2 linked regions of the Rhinolophus ferrumequinum genome follow. The protein of the gene in region 2 interacts with the protein of the main gene of each other region in a biochemical or structural test. Links are inferred from orthologs where the notes say so. Each region holds a gene or a part of one and is shown on either strand. Other genes may lie near its edges.

The links.
Region 1: the proteins of ZEB1 (region 2) and USP51 form a complex in vitro, tested with the Homo sapiens proteins (2 studies listed by BioGRID). The link is inferred for Rhinolophus ferrumequinum from reciprocal best matches to the Homo sapiens genes ZEB1 and USP51.

What each region holds. Positions count from the first base shown.
Region 1 is NC_046284.1:80,835,570-80,842,404, reverse strand, and holds the start of USP51 (ubiquitin carboxyl-terminal hydrolase 51), read left to right. Parts: upstream 1-3,822; 5' UTR 3,823-4,215; intron 4,216-4,314; 5' UTR 4,315-4,539; intron 4,540-4,702; 5' UTR 4,703-4,751; coding exon 4,752-5,134; intron 5,135-5,212; coding exon 5,213-6,835.
Region 2 is NC_046288.1:2,888,002-2,895,205, reverse strand, and holds the start of ZEB1 (zinc finger E-box-binding homeobox 1), read right to left. Parts: upstream 3,020-7,204; 5' UTR 2,957-3,019; coding exon 2,899-2,956; intron 1,994-2,898; exon of another isoform or gene 1,889-1,993; coding exon of another isoform or gene 1,879-1,888; intron 1,082-1,878; exon of another isoform or gene 715-1,081; coding exon of another isoform or gene 708-714; intron 581-707; exon of another isoform or gene 404-580; coding exon of another isoform or gene 388-403; intron 1-387. UniProt on the Homo sapiens protein: Acts as a transcriptional repressor. Inhibits interleukin-2 (IL-2) gene expression. Enhances or represses the promoter activity of the ATP1A1 gene depending on the quantity of cDNA and on the cell type.

The DNA.
Region 1 (6,835 bases), on a different chromosome or scaffold from region 2:
AACAAAATAAACAAACTAACCAGAAACAAACTCATGCCGGATCGAGGGGGCTTGGGGATGAGTGAAAAAGGGGAAGGGATTAAGAAGTACAAATAGGTTGTTACACAGTAGTCATAGGGATATCAGGTATCACATAAGGAATATAGTCAATAATATTGTAATAACTACGTATAATGTCAGATGGGTACTAGATCTATTGGGGTGATATATGGGAGGGTGGTTGGGGACAAGGTGAAGGGATTAAGAAATACAAATTGGTAGTTACAAAATAGTCATGGTGATGTAAAGTATTTGGAATGTAATAAATAATGTGGTAATAAATATGTATAATGCCAAGTGGATACTAGTCAGGAGGATCACTTCCTAAATTATATAAATGTCTAACCACTATACTGTACCCCTGAAACAAATATAAAATAATATTGAATGCCAACTCTAATTGAAAAATCAAAAAAGGGGAGAAAAGATAAAGAACAAGAAGAGGTTCAAAGTTCCAGGTACAAAACAAGTATTGGGATGTAATATACAGCATAGGAAATATAGTCAATAATATTGTGATAGCATGGTAGTATCAGATGGTTGCTGGAGTTATCATGGTGATCACTTCTTTAGCATAGGGAATATAATCAATAATGTGGTAATAACTCTGTATAACAGTACCCAGGTGAGTACTATTGAATAATTATGATGTACACTTGAAACTAATATAATATTGTATATTAGCTATATTTTCACAAAAGTCTTTTTTTTTTTTTTTAGAAAAAGAAAACCTTAAGAGAAGCCAAGACTAAATAGTCCTAGGAAACTAGCCACATCAGAAAGGGTTCCTGCTACTAAGGCCAGATGGCCTTGACCTGTGGTTCTTTATACATTAACCCACAGCAGTGGTTCTCAAAGTCCAGTCCCCATACCACAAGTATAGACATTCAGCAGCAGCATTAGCTGGTAAATTGTCAGAGACAAATTATTGGGCCTCCTCCTGGTTACATAGCTAGCAAATGACTGAGTCAGCAATTCCATGTAGGTCTGCTAACCCAAAAGAAGCAACTCTTCTGTTAGCTATGGTTGAGTAAATGCCCTTACCTGGTATGTGTGTGGGGGAGGAGGGGGAGGAGGAATTACTATTTTCCTTTGTAAATTAGTCTACAATTCCAAATTTTTTTTCCCCCAGGTACTTCTACATGAAATCAGATTTGGACATGTTTTCCAGCTACACTTCTACAGGAAGCCTTTCTTTGAGAATGGTCTCTTCATGCAGCCTTCCCTCTGCTGAAAAAGGGTCTGGGATAGGAGAGGATGAAGGGTGGGGTCGTACCCAAACTGAGGGATTCAACAGGACCCTCCTCAGAGAGGCTGGGTCCAGCAGGGCCCTGCCTGTGTAGTGCTGCTCTACTGAGGGACCCTCTCCTGATCTGGGGGATCAGAGAAGCCTCTTGGAGGAGGGAACACTTGAGCTGGGTGTAAAGCAGGGGAAACCAGGAGGGAGGCCAGATCCTTGGGGATCGGTCCAGACCAACACCAACTCTGGGGATGCAGTTGGGGCAGGACCTCTGGGGTGACTTTGGAGTCATCATGGAATCCTGAGGATCTACTCCCTCTCCCTCTTCTAGCCTTCAGGGCTCTATTGTCAAGAAGTGGATTGGAATCACAAGGTTCAGTGTGGTTGGAGCAGACCAGTATGTGTGTGGGGGGGGGGCGGTGACTGGCTGTTTTTCAGGTACAGCTGGCACTGCTGGGACTTCCAGGGACACTAAGTTTTCCTTACCCCTCTCCAATTTCTGCCAAAGGAGGAACACACAAGAAAAAGGGTAATTCAGATGGAAGGGAGGAATCAAGGGGGGTAGGAGGGACTGCCCCTTAGGCCACCAGAGGCCTTCCCCTGCCCCTATGCCACCCACCCACTCACTAGCAGGAGAGCCAGCCATTTATTCTCTATGATCCCGCCTCCTGTCAAAGTCTTCCGGAGCATCCACTGGTGACTCCATTTCTGCTTCTCTTACCTCACTGCCACCTCGTGTGTGTGTGTTCCTTTACCCTCTGGTGCCATCTTTCCAAATTGTACGTCTAAATCTCTAATATTTACACAGCTCCAAGTTTCATGGTGTTAGAAAACCTTACTGTGCTTGTTATGATGATGATTATTTTATTAAAAGTTCTTTGGAAACTCCAGAGGATGAAAAACTAACGTGCCTCAGTCTGAGCACATCATCCTCTGTCTTGAGGCTCCTTCTCAAGGCTCCTGTACTGATAGCTTAGCTGTATCTAGAGAAACTGAAAATTATAGCCTGAAAACAGTAAGCCTTCCCTCTCTGGTGTGAGGTTGTGGCAGAACCATGAGAGTGACAGTGGCCTTTCTAGTCAGCTACGTGGCCCTAAGCTGATTTGGGGGCCAAATATCTGAATTGGAAATCTCATGAGGATGCCTTTCAAGATTGCTGTGAGTTTATAAGAATTGCTAACAGGTCAAGTCAGGTCTTTTCTGACTCGAGGAAACGGAATTTTAACAATGATGTGTAGCTTGCTGAAGGTTAAAAACACAGCTTCTAGTGATGAAAAAGTATAAGAGAATTGTTCTCTTGTGTCCCAGGCAAATGATCCTGAAAACATATTCATCTGAAGGAGACTTGTATTTGAACCTCTCAATCTATAGTCATTTTGAGCCACAGAACAGTTATGGTGATTCTTCTCTTCAAGATCATGTTGATCTGTGCTCACTCTGTAAATTCATATAGATTATTGACTCTCTTTGACCTCCTGAAATCATTGCCATCCATTTTGGGAAGGCAAATATCACTCCCAAGCCAGAGAGACCTGAATTCTAATTCTGAAGTTTAGAAAGGTGGTGCACGACTGTTCCAGAGAGATTAAATGTAGCATTAAACCTCCTCACTGAGAAGCAGGAATATTCTTGGGATTGGACAGGAAAGGCAACAAGTTCTAGAAATAGCACCTTTTGTGGGGGTTGTGACCTTGGGTACTGAACCTGTTAAAGGGAAGAAAAAATCTCCTGGACTATGAACTCCTGGAAGACACAGATTGTTTTAGTCTGTGTTTTTCACAGCACAATCTAGCACAGTAGTACAGTTAAGGGATCCACATTTATTGACTGCATGCTCATGTAAATGAACTGTTTAGGAGGGATAATCTGGTAAACAGAGCAATAACTTTGAGAGGGCTTTGAAAGAGAAGTGTTCGCTTTTGCTCTACTGTAAGTATCAGGCATTATGCTATAGGCTGAGTTTTAAGGTGGGGACTGTGAAAGAGGTGAAAAAGATAAAGCTTGCCATAAAGATCCTTTAGTTTACACATACTGATTTAGTGTTCATAATAGGTTAGTATTATTTCCATTTTTGTTTAACAGATGCTACAACTAAGGCTCAGAGAGGTAATGTGTTTTATCTGGGCTCACACAGCTAGCAAGTGCCTGGGCTCTCCTATCTGAGCCTGAAGCCTTCGCTTATGCTTCCTGTCCCCACACTCCAGAATAACATTCCGCAGTCCACTTAACTCCCAGGTATCAGACTCTGATGGGTCCCTAAGGGATTCCTGCCAGAGTTGCCATCCCTTCAAACCCCCACCCCCACCCCAATGAATCATTTTTCTGCCGAGCGTGGGCCTGGAGCCAGGTGAGGCCACAGCCTCCATTTCAGGGGCTTTCTCTAGACTCTGTCGCTGTGGTTACCTCCAGTAGAATCTGTTTCAGGAAGAGGTTTGTCTGACTGCGCGGACAACGGTGCCACTCATCACTGAAGGAGGGCAGAATCCGGGGCTGGGGGCCGCACGTCGAGAGGGGTGGGGCCAGGGGGCGGCCCCCTTGTGACCAGCCCTGAGGAGAGGTCAGGAGAGAAGGCTGGCTGAGGAGCGCCTGGACAGCAGCAGCTGCTGACGTTCTGAATCACGCGCCTGGGGCCCAAGGTAACCCAGACCTTTAAACAAACAGCGGGGCTGGGGGCGCTGCGTGGGCGGGGGCGGGAAGGGGCAGGGACTTCGGGCGTTCAGCACTGAAGACGTGAGCGTCCAGCGCGTGGAGGGCGTGAGAAGGAGTCCGAATTCTCAGAGGAATTATAGGGAATGAGGGTGCTGAAGCAAGAAACGAGGTGTGAGAGAGAACACAAGCGCGAAGGAGCATGAGAGGGCACAAGAAAGTGGCAGAGGAAAAGACTGCGCTTGGAGGTAGGGGCAAAAGGTGGAACACAGCCAGCCGGAGAAGCACAGGTAAGATGGGAGTAGGGAGACATTTTCTTCCCCTGAGCCCATTTTCCATAGGTGGCCCAGCCATTTTTAAGGTAAAATGTTGACCCAAGTGTGTTTTAGGATATAAGGAATGAACGTCAGAGGAAGCTGTACCAAAGTGAGGCTGCGCAAGGCCCAGGAAAGGCAGTCTGAGGGTGGCGCCTTTTTTAAAGATTCCATCTCTTTCCACCCTAAAGCTCAGGCCGTACCCCCGCCCCCACCTTTTCCAGCCGCCGTCTGCCTGCCTCCCTCCCACCCCGCACCACCCCCTCGGCCCCGGGCAAGATCCGATCGCCTTTAAACCAGGTAACCAACCGCTTCGGTCTCCACACCAGTTCCAGGAGCCTCTGAATAGAGGGGGTGGAGCTCGCAGCGGCCGGTGGGAGGGTCCCGGGGGCGCTAATGGCCCGCCGCGGCCATGACGCCGGCCAGATTATTCACAGCTATCTCTGTCTCATTCCATCTACAGTGGCAGCTCGATTCCAGACGCCTTTCACTCCAGACCAGGCGGTGAGCTGATGGCCCAAGTTCCAGAAGCTGCCTCGTCCTCTGGCTCTTTGGTCCGTTGGAGCTCGAGAGGTGGGGGAGGAGCCTCGTCCGAGGAGGCGGTTGAGAAGGCGGGGGAAATGGAGGTGGAGGCGGTGGGCACGACGAAGGCGTGTGCCGGCCAGGGAACTGAGAAGATGAAGCTGGAGCCATTACAAGAGCGTAATCCTGTGCCTGAGGAGAACCTGACCTGGAGCGGCAGCGGTGGCGACGAGGTGTTCCCTTCAACCCCACCCCGCTGGCCCAGCAGCTCCTCGCCCCTCTGCCCGCGCCGCAAGCCCCGCCCTCGGCCCCAGCCCCGGGCCCGCTTCCGAGGACCGCCCGGACCCGAGGCCCCACCCCCGCCTCCAGCTCATCTGCCGCCGCCGCCGCCGCCGCCGCCGCCGCCGCCGCCGCCGCCGCCGCCGCCGCCGCCGCCGCCGCCGCCGCCGCCGCCGCCGCCGCCGCCACCGCCGCCACCGCCGCCCTCGCCGCGGCCCCGGCACTGGCGCAGACCTCAGCGTAGATCCCGGCCGGCGTCCAGGCCTCGGACGCGGCAAAGCTGTTTTGGTGACTTAGGCGGCTCTGGGGATCGAGGTGGCTTTGGGGACTGGCTGCTGGAGGTGGAGTTTGATCAGGGTCCCGCGGGCTGCTCTCATGTGGAGAGCTTTAAAGTAGCGAAGAATTGGCAGAAGAACCTTCGGTTGATCTACCAGCGTTTCGTTTGGAGTGGGACCCCGGAGACTAGGAAGCGTAAGGCAAAGTCCTGCATCTGTCTTGTATGTAGTACCCATGTGAACAGACTCCACTCTTGTCTCTCCTGTGTCTTTTTTGGTTGCTTTACTGAGAAACATATTCATAAACATGCAGAAACAGAACAGCACAATTTAGCTGTAGACCTCTACCATGGGGTTATATATTGCTTTATATGTAAGGATTACGTATATGACAAAGACATAGAACAGATTGCCAAAGAAACAAAAGAGAAAATGTTGAAATTATTAACTTCCACCTCAACAGATGTTTCTCAACAGTATATGGCATCAGGTGTTGAAGAGAAGCAATCAACCTGTGAGTCAAAGGAACGACAGCCAAAATTGGTGAAACCCAAGAAAAAGAGGAGAAAAAAGTCAGTGTATACTGTAGGCCTGAGAGGGCTAATCAATCTTGGGAACACCTGTTTTATGAATTGTATTGTCCAGGCACTTACCCATATTCCTCTTCTGAAAGATTTCTTTCTCTCTGACAAGCACAAATGTATAATGACAAGCCCCAGTTTGTGTCTTGTCTGTGAAATGTCTTCTCTTTTTCATGCTATGTACTCTGGGAGCCGAACTCCTCACATTCCCTATAAGTTACTGCACCTGATATGGATTCATGCAGAACACTTAGCAGGGTACAGGCAACAGGATGCCCATGAGTTCCTTATTGCAATATTAGATGTGCTGCATAGACACAGCAAAGATGATAGTGTTGAGCAGGAAGCCAGTAACCCCAACTGCTGTAACTGCATTATAGACCAAATCTTTACAGGAGGCTTGCAGTCAGATGTCACATGTCAAGCTTGCCATAGCGTCTCCACCACAATAGACCCATGCTGGGACATCAGTTTGGACTTGCCTGGCTCTTATGCCACATTCAGTTCCCAGAGTCCAGAGAGGGCTGACAGCACAGTGTGTAGGGATGACCACATACCAGGAATCCCCTCACTCACAGACTGCCTTCAGTGGTTTACAAGGCCGGAACACCTAGGAAGCAGTGCCAAAATCAAATGCAGTAGTTGCCAAAGCTACCAGGAATCTACCAAACAGCTCACAATGAAGAAATTACCCATTGTGGCCTGTTTTCATCTAAAGCGGTTTGAACATTTAGGCAAACAGAGACGAAAGATTAATACTTTTATCTCCTTTCCTTTGGAACTGGACATGACTCCATTTTTGGCCTCCACTAAAGAGAGCAGAATGAAAGCTGACCAACCACCAACAGATTGTGCACCCAATGAGAATAAGTATTCCTTGTTTGCAGTGATTAATCACCATGGAACTTTGGAAAGTGGACACTACACCAGCTTTATCCG
Region 2 (7,204 bases):
TCATAACACAATGGCATATATAACTTCATTTTTAATTTGCAAATTATAAGGCTTAATCAAATAGCACGACAGTAATCATCAGCAATGGATGAAATGCATTTGAGAACAAAAAGAAATACAAGGACAGAGCCAAAAGTGACGAAAATGGAAGATACCTGTAGTAGTATAGTGCTATCTTAAACACCTTTTGTTTTCTCAGAGTAATGCATACTGCAGACAAGACATTTTGTGCTAAGCAGCCCCAAATCTGTTTTTCTAATATTAAAAACAAAGGAAAAACACTGACAGTAAGCGTGGTAAATAAATCCCTCCCTTGAGAATGAAAGCAGCAGACAGGAGGGGGCTGACATACATACAGGAGAAAACTAAACACCATCTTTTTTCTACCTGCACAAGTTGCCATTTGCTGCAGCGACCGAGAACCTCTTTTTCCTGTTGATTTCAAGTACCTTTCAGGATAGCTTTTTTCCCCCTTAAGTCATCTGTTGATATGCCTTATGGGTGTAATATTCACATCGCAGGATCTTTAGGAGAAAAATCCATTCTTTCCTGCTCAGGTAAACATGTTTACAGCAGCTGCACAGACGCTGGGTGGTTCAGACTCACATGTCACACACATGTCGTCAGCAACAAGAAAAGCCCCTTTCTATGGCGATGAACATTTTAAATAAGGTAAAAAGCGAACAACCCTTTCTGAACCAACTTACCTTTCATAAAGCCACATCAGCAACAGCGGCAACAGCTCAATACAGAACACACAGTATTTGACGCTAAAACAGGAAATTAAAATTGCAATAGCCTATGCTCTGCTCCTTACTGTAACAAGTCATCTCTCACAATGAGGATACAACATATTAGTTATCGATCATAATTGTTTGATGCTTTTAAATGCAAACATTTGAATAACTACAATCATTCGTGGAAGCAGTGATTTTAATGTTGGTTCAAATATATTAAAATGTTTACGATTGGAAGGAAACATCTTGAAACAGCTTAAAACCTTCGTATCTGCTTCTAGACAGGAAATCCCACACAAAATCTAAAATTGCCAGGAAAGGTTACAAAACCTCGCGTTTCGCATCCCAGAGGGGAGGGAGAAAGAGAGGCCGGGCGCGGGGGAGGGGGCGGGGGGATCGCGAGAGTTTTTACTTAAACACATATTTCCTCATTTTCTGGAAGATACAGTGATTCCATTATAGGCGCATTTATTTCCCTACTCTTAAAAACTCGTTTTAAAAATAACGCAGGAACCCAGACAAGCCCCTCGGTCCAAATGTACGTGTAATTCCTTATATAGCCTGGGCCGCAGCCGGCGGCAGAGCCGTTGCCGCCCATTATTATACAAACAGGTACCCGGCCGGCGGGCGGGGGCCTCTCCCCGAGCTCCTGCCGCCCCCGGGCGGACAAGTCTTGCCCCTCTCGCCACAGGAACTGTCCAGACAATAACAATCAGCAGACATTTCGCTGCTGAACAGGGGGGAGAGAAAGCACAGAATCGCCCCTGAGATAAGCAAAAATACAATCAACTTACAACGTCTCTCCAAACTGGAAAAGGCCAATGTGCAACAACAACCACATGTTCGGGTCTCTCTCGCTCTCTCTCTCTCTGTCTCTCTCTTTATTTATTTAAAACTCTCACGCCAGGCCGAGGGGTGTGTATTTCCCCGGCACATCAGCACAGATCAATAAACACTGCAGCTGCAGAGCGAGCAGCCGACCCGCACGTCCGTCAGTTCGCCCTCCCCCTCCCCCACTCCCTTTCCACCCGAGTCCGCGAGCGCCATCCAAGCTCCATTATCCGGCTTCAGCGCTCCGAGCGTCCGGCTCAGGTAACAACTTCCCCAAAAACCGAAAGAGAAAAGAGAGAGGCGTACGCACACAGCCCCATCCCAGCGCGGAGAAGGAGTCTTCCCCGGGGAGGGAGCTCTGTCTGTGGTGCTTTCCTGTCTCTAACCAGGTAACAACTCCACAAACACACCCGCTGCCCGGCTCGCCGCCATCCACAGATCGCCCCCAGCAGCAAGTAGGCGCCCGCTGCTGCCCCGCCGTCCCTGCCGCCCCACCAGCGCCCCACAGGACGTGGACCTCACTCGCAGGGCTTGCCTCGGCGGCCCAGGGCGCGGTGGCCGGGGCGCGGGGGAGGAGGGGCACTTAGGGACCCGCGCCTCCGCCGCTAATCCCCACTCCGCGAGCGCGCCGGCCGGTCACAACTTTACAGCAGCGGGCTGAGCCCCGTCCGCCCGCGGCGCGCCCCGCCGGCGCCCGCGCACACGCGCGCACGGACGACACGCAGCCGGGCCACCGCGTCCCATCGCCCGCCGCGCGCCCGCAGCCGACCCACCCTGCCCGAGCCGCGGGGCCCAAGCGACGGCGCGGGCTGGGGCCGCGACGCGCGGAAGCCACTTTGCACGGCCAGCGCCGGCACAAGTTAGTTCCCGGCTCCCGGGGGCCTCGGCGCTGAGGGAGAATACGGCGGAGGGGGCTGAGGAGGAGGGGGAGCGGGGAGGCGCGAGGGGCAGAAGAGTGGGGAAAAGTGAGAAAAGAAGCAACAGCCTCTCCACCCGGGACCAGAAAAGTGGCCGCCGCGTCCCGACCGCTCGCCCTGCGCCGGGGATGCGGCGGCGCCGGCTAACGGTCCAGGGAGGCGGCAGGGGCGGCAGGAGCCGCTAGGCGGAGAGAGACCAGGTAAGAGACATAACGGTTCAGGGAGAGCGAGCGGCCGCGGCGCGGCTCCGGCAGCGGAGGGGGGCAGAGAGCACTACTTTCTACTTTCCCACTCCACTTTGCCAGTCCCTGCCCCGGCCGCCCCCAGCCCGGCTCGCCCCCCTCACCTCCGGGGCGCCCCGGCTGCCCGGCTCCCCCTGACTCCGCCGCTCCCCGGTCCCCTCCGCCACTCACCGTTATTGCGCCGCGGGTTCGCCTGCTTTCTGCGCTTACACCTGGGGCCATCCGCCATGATCCTCTCGCTTGTGTCTAAATGCTCGAGTCACCTCCTCCCCCTCCCTCCCTCCTCCCCCCCACCCCTCCGCCTCCACCCCTCCCCCCTCCCCACCGCACCTGGTTTACGACACTCGCGGCTTTACGACATCACCTTCCTTACACCTAGAGCCGCTCGCTCTACGGCCGGAACCTTGTTGCTAGGGAGAAGACGGTTTGCGGCAACACTGGAAACAGCTGTGTTTGAATTGAGGGCCGAGGGAAAAGTTTCCCTCAGGTGTCTTGGGATGGGGGAGGGAGACATTGGGAAACTGTGGGGACCTGGTCAGACGGGCGACAGGCTGTCAGACTGAGAAAGGTAAAGGAGGAGGTTCCGCCGCGTTCTGCCTGTGAACTGGCCACACCCGCCGCGAATGCTTGGGGCTCGTACGGGTCTGACCGATTCTAGTCGGGACCTTGTGTCCTCAGAGTAACCGGAACAACCTGTCTTCCCTCTTCCTCAAGGTTAGGCTCCGCTCCCACGCAGCGTTCGTCCGCTCTGCGCACCCCGGGGCTCCGCAGAGGGTCGTGCCCCGGACTCCCCCGGGAGTTGCCCGGGTTAGGAGAAGGGCAGGTTCGGGAACGGTGAAGGACTGTTTTGGGAAGCTCAGCCTCTGACCGCGAGGACGCACGGCTTCACGAGAGAGGCTACCTGACCCCCGCCCCGCCGCTCTGACTCCCTTCCATTACACGCATGGTTTTCCCCTCAGGGAACTGGGATGGGAAGTGACTTCAATTAGATAGAACTTCAGCTGGACCGAAAGAGAGGCTAGAAGTTCCGCTTGCAAGCCAGCTCGGCGGGGAAGCAAAATGAGTAATACCCACACTGCCCCTGTCTCACTTCCTCATCCACACCAGACTCACCTGTCACCTCCGCCTGCCCCCCGCCCAGCCTCCCTGCTCTGAGCGGTCCTCTGGGCTTTCCCCTTAGAGTAGTCCCACGAGATCTTGGGCGTCAAGAGTCAAAGTTAAGCTATTAACAGGCCGTGACTTACCATCTAAATGGGTAGTTACCTGTATATAGGACGTTAAGGCAACAAGCATGGCTCACAAATGCGGTCTTTGAGACTGATAGATTGCTGATCTCATCTCAAGTCCCTGACTTGGTATAAATTTGGGGGATGTCTAAAAGACCGTATAGATAACACCACAAATACCAAGGAAGTCAAGTCTGAAGTAGTCAGTAGGATTTAGCTTTCCACTTCTTCCCCCCCTCCCTTTCAAATAAGGAAAAGTCTTTGGGACCAATTTTATGAAATGAGCTGAGCTGTATTTCAAATAATATAGTTATAAATTAACAATATACGAATTATTGGTAGAGAAATTGAGAAACCTGAAACATGACACGTAGAGTACTAGAAATAAAGTTGCCCAGCACAGTGCTCTCACGGTAGGTGCTCATAAATGTATGCCTGTAATTTTTGTCATACCTATGGCAAGATTCTTTATTATGTTAAAATAATCTTTTAAACACGCTCCAGAATTTTAGAAGATTCATTAATAATCTCTTCAAACCTTTCAACTGAAATTTACAGCTGAAGTCTAGTAATTTAATATTAGAAAGTTTAATCCTGAATATGAGTATAGATGAAAATTTTCTCACTCACGTTTGCTTTGGGACTTTGAGAAGTGAATACATTATTTATTGGTGCATGAAATGTGACTGTAAATATTCTTTGCTATATATTATGTCTATATATCTACTCTCGTCCTCAGTGCCAAAACTACTCATTATTCTTTATGATCATTTAAGTACAGGCAATTCTCCCTTTCCTCAATACCATGTTAACTGAACTTGGGCATGTTAGAACCAGAAAGGTGTCCATGCTTTGCTTTATTCAAGTGGTAAGTTTCCTACTTTTTTATAACTGTGTAATGTTCTTTATTTGCCTTCTGAATCAGGTTATAGAATTTGTCCTTTGCCAACACCGCCCCCTCCCCAACAAACACAACATTTTTACAGTTACCCTAATTTCCAGTAAAAAAAAAAATACTTTCTAATTCTAGCATACATTTGATTTACTCTTAAACTTAGGAAACATCACATGCTGTTTTCTCTTTCTGCCTGTCTTGTACCTCCCTACTAAGTTTCCTTCAGTGTTCATCCTCACCTTGAAATCAGAGATAAAGTGTAAGGGACTCAGGCACAAAGTAGAAGTCATTTTCTTCCATACCTCAGTGCTTACTGGTTTACTTAGCTTGGGCCAGACTTATTTAACTCCATGTGAACAGATTCATTATTATTATTATTATTATTATTATTATTATTATTATTATTATTTTATTATTCTGTTCATGCCTGTGTCCTCAACACCTAGCAGAATACCTAGTCACATAGTAGATGCTCAGTAAGTAAATATTTTTTAAAATAAATTAATACTGTTGATCTTTTCAGAATCTGTTCTTGGCTATAAAATAAGGATTGTTTATTTACCTTCATCACATTTGTTCGTAGGAGCAGTTGAAATCATGGACATAAAAAGCTGTTTACTGTCATTTATATCCTGTCTTATTTTGAGACTAATTGGTCTTGATTTTAGATTCTGCATAATCATTTTTCCCAAATTATTAACTCAATTCACTCCTATTTTAAAAATATGTACAGGAAATACTATTGATATTCCAACTCTTCCTATACAAAATTTCAATTTTATAAAGTCCTGTAATCATGTATATTATAAACTGAATATTTGATTAATATACTTTATTGTAAATGTTCCCCAAGTTATTGAAATCTGGACTTGAAAGAAAGCAGACAAAAGTAAATCTCAGAATAAATTGCTGCTTTAAACTTGAAGCATTTGTGATAGCACTTATCTCTTAAATATAACTAAAAAATTGGAAAAAGCCTTTAAAATACATTTAGAAAAGGAATAAATTTATTAGAATTTAGGTTTATTTAAATCAAACATGGTAGGATACTAATAAGAGTTTAATGTGTATTCTGTATTGTTGGATTTTAGCAATTGTAGTGCCATCATACGATATATGCTATTCAATATATACTATTTTTAATGTCAGTGAAATGTTCACATTACTTCTAGTGAGCACTGAGATTGCATATGCTGAAGAAGAGGTATTCTGCTGAAAATGAATTACTGTAATCTTTTCTAAATTTACAGGAAAAAATGTAAATGGGTAGAATATTTTCAGTATTGAGTTTTTCCTATAAATTTTTCATGAACCCTTTGCACCTGCTATTTGCTTTCCATATGAGATTCATGTGTAAGTGAGGGTAAAATTTGACATAAAATTATTTTAAGTTTCAAATGTAGATATTCCATGGTGTTCCACATTGCGTCTGATTTCCATGTACCTAAGTTCCTGAACACATTTGACAAGTATAACTTACATCATTCTACAATCTTCATAAAAATAAAAAAGTTGGTTATTTTCATGGAAGGATAACATTAATTATGTTAATTAGGTTAATTACGTTAACATGTGATTTTAATATTAGTGCTTGAAGGAAAAAGACATTTGATACCAGTTTTCCGTCAAAGTATAGAGTTTAGAATCCCCTAAAGTTGTTCCTCAATCCTTGGCTCAATAGTGACTCTGGATATGTGTGTGGTTCACAATGAAACAAAAGAGGGCAGTCGTAATTTCGCTGCCTGCAGTTTCACCAAATTCTGCAATGACTGAGGCAGGAAGGAAATATGACTACAGGGTGATGCAGAACCGACAGTTGTCTTTAGTACCCATGATATAGCCTCCCAGGAGGGAATAATAGGGACAAATGTTTTCCCCAGACCTCCATGTGATTTTATTATCTATTGCACAACAAAATGGTATTTCCCCCTCTGGGGAACAAGGCTCCTATTTTTAATATAAGTCAATGAAATGTTAACACATGGAACTTCTTATTTGGGGGGCAATTTTTCAGGAAGATGTCTAATATGGAAAGATGTAAGTAGAAAAATAGAGAGGTTTGAAGGAGGTTAATGAACATCCAAAAAATAAAACTAATCTTTTTCATAAAATTACAGTAGTTAAAACAAATTGCTTTCAATTCCACAGTAGATTATAGTTGCTAATATTGATATCACACATGAACATGAACAGCATTTTTTCTATACTAAACAATTATAGATAATTTGTGCTAGAGAGAGAGCAACTTGCATATTTTATATTTGAGTAAATTTTTAGTATTCACCATGATATCAGAGGGCTGATACCTGTTTCTATTGTTTTTTTCCCCACTTTGTCTTCATGTATTTTTCTCTGG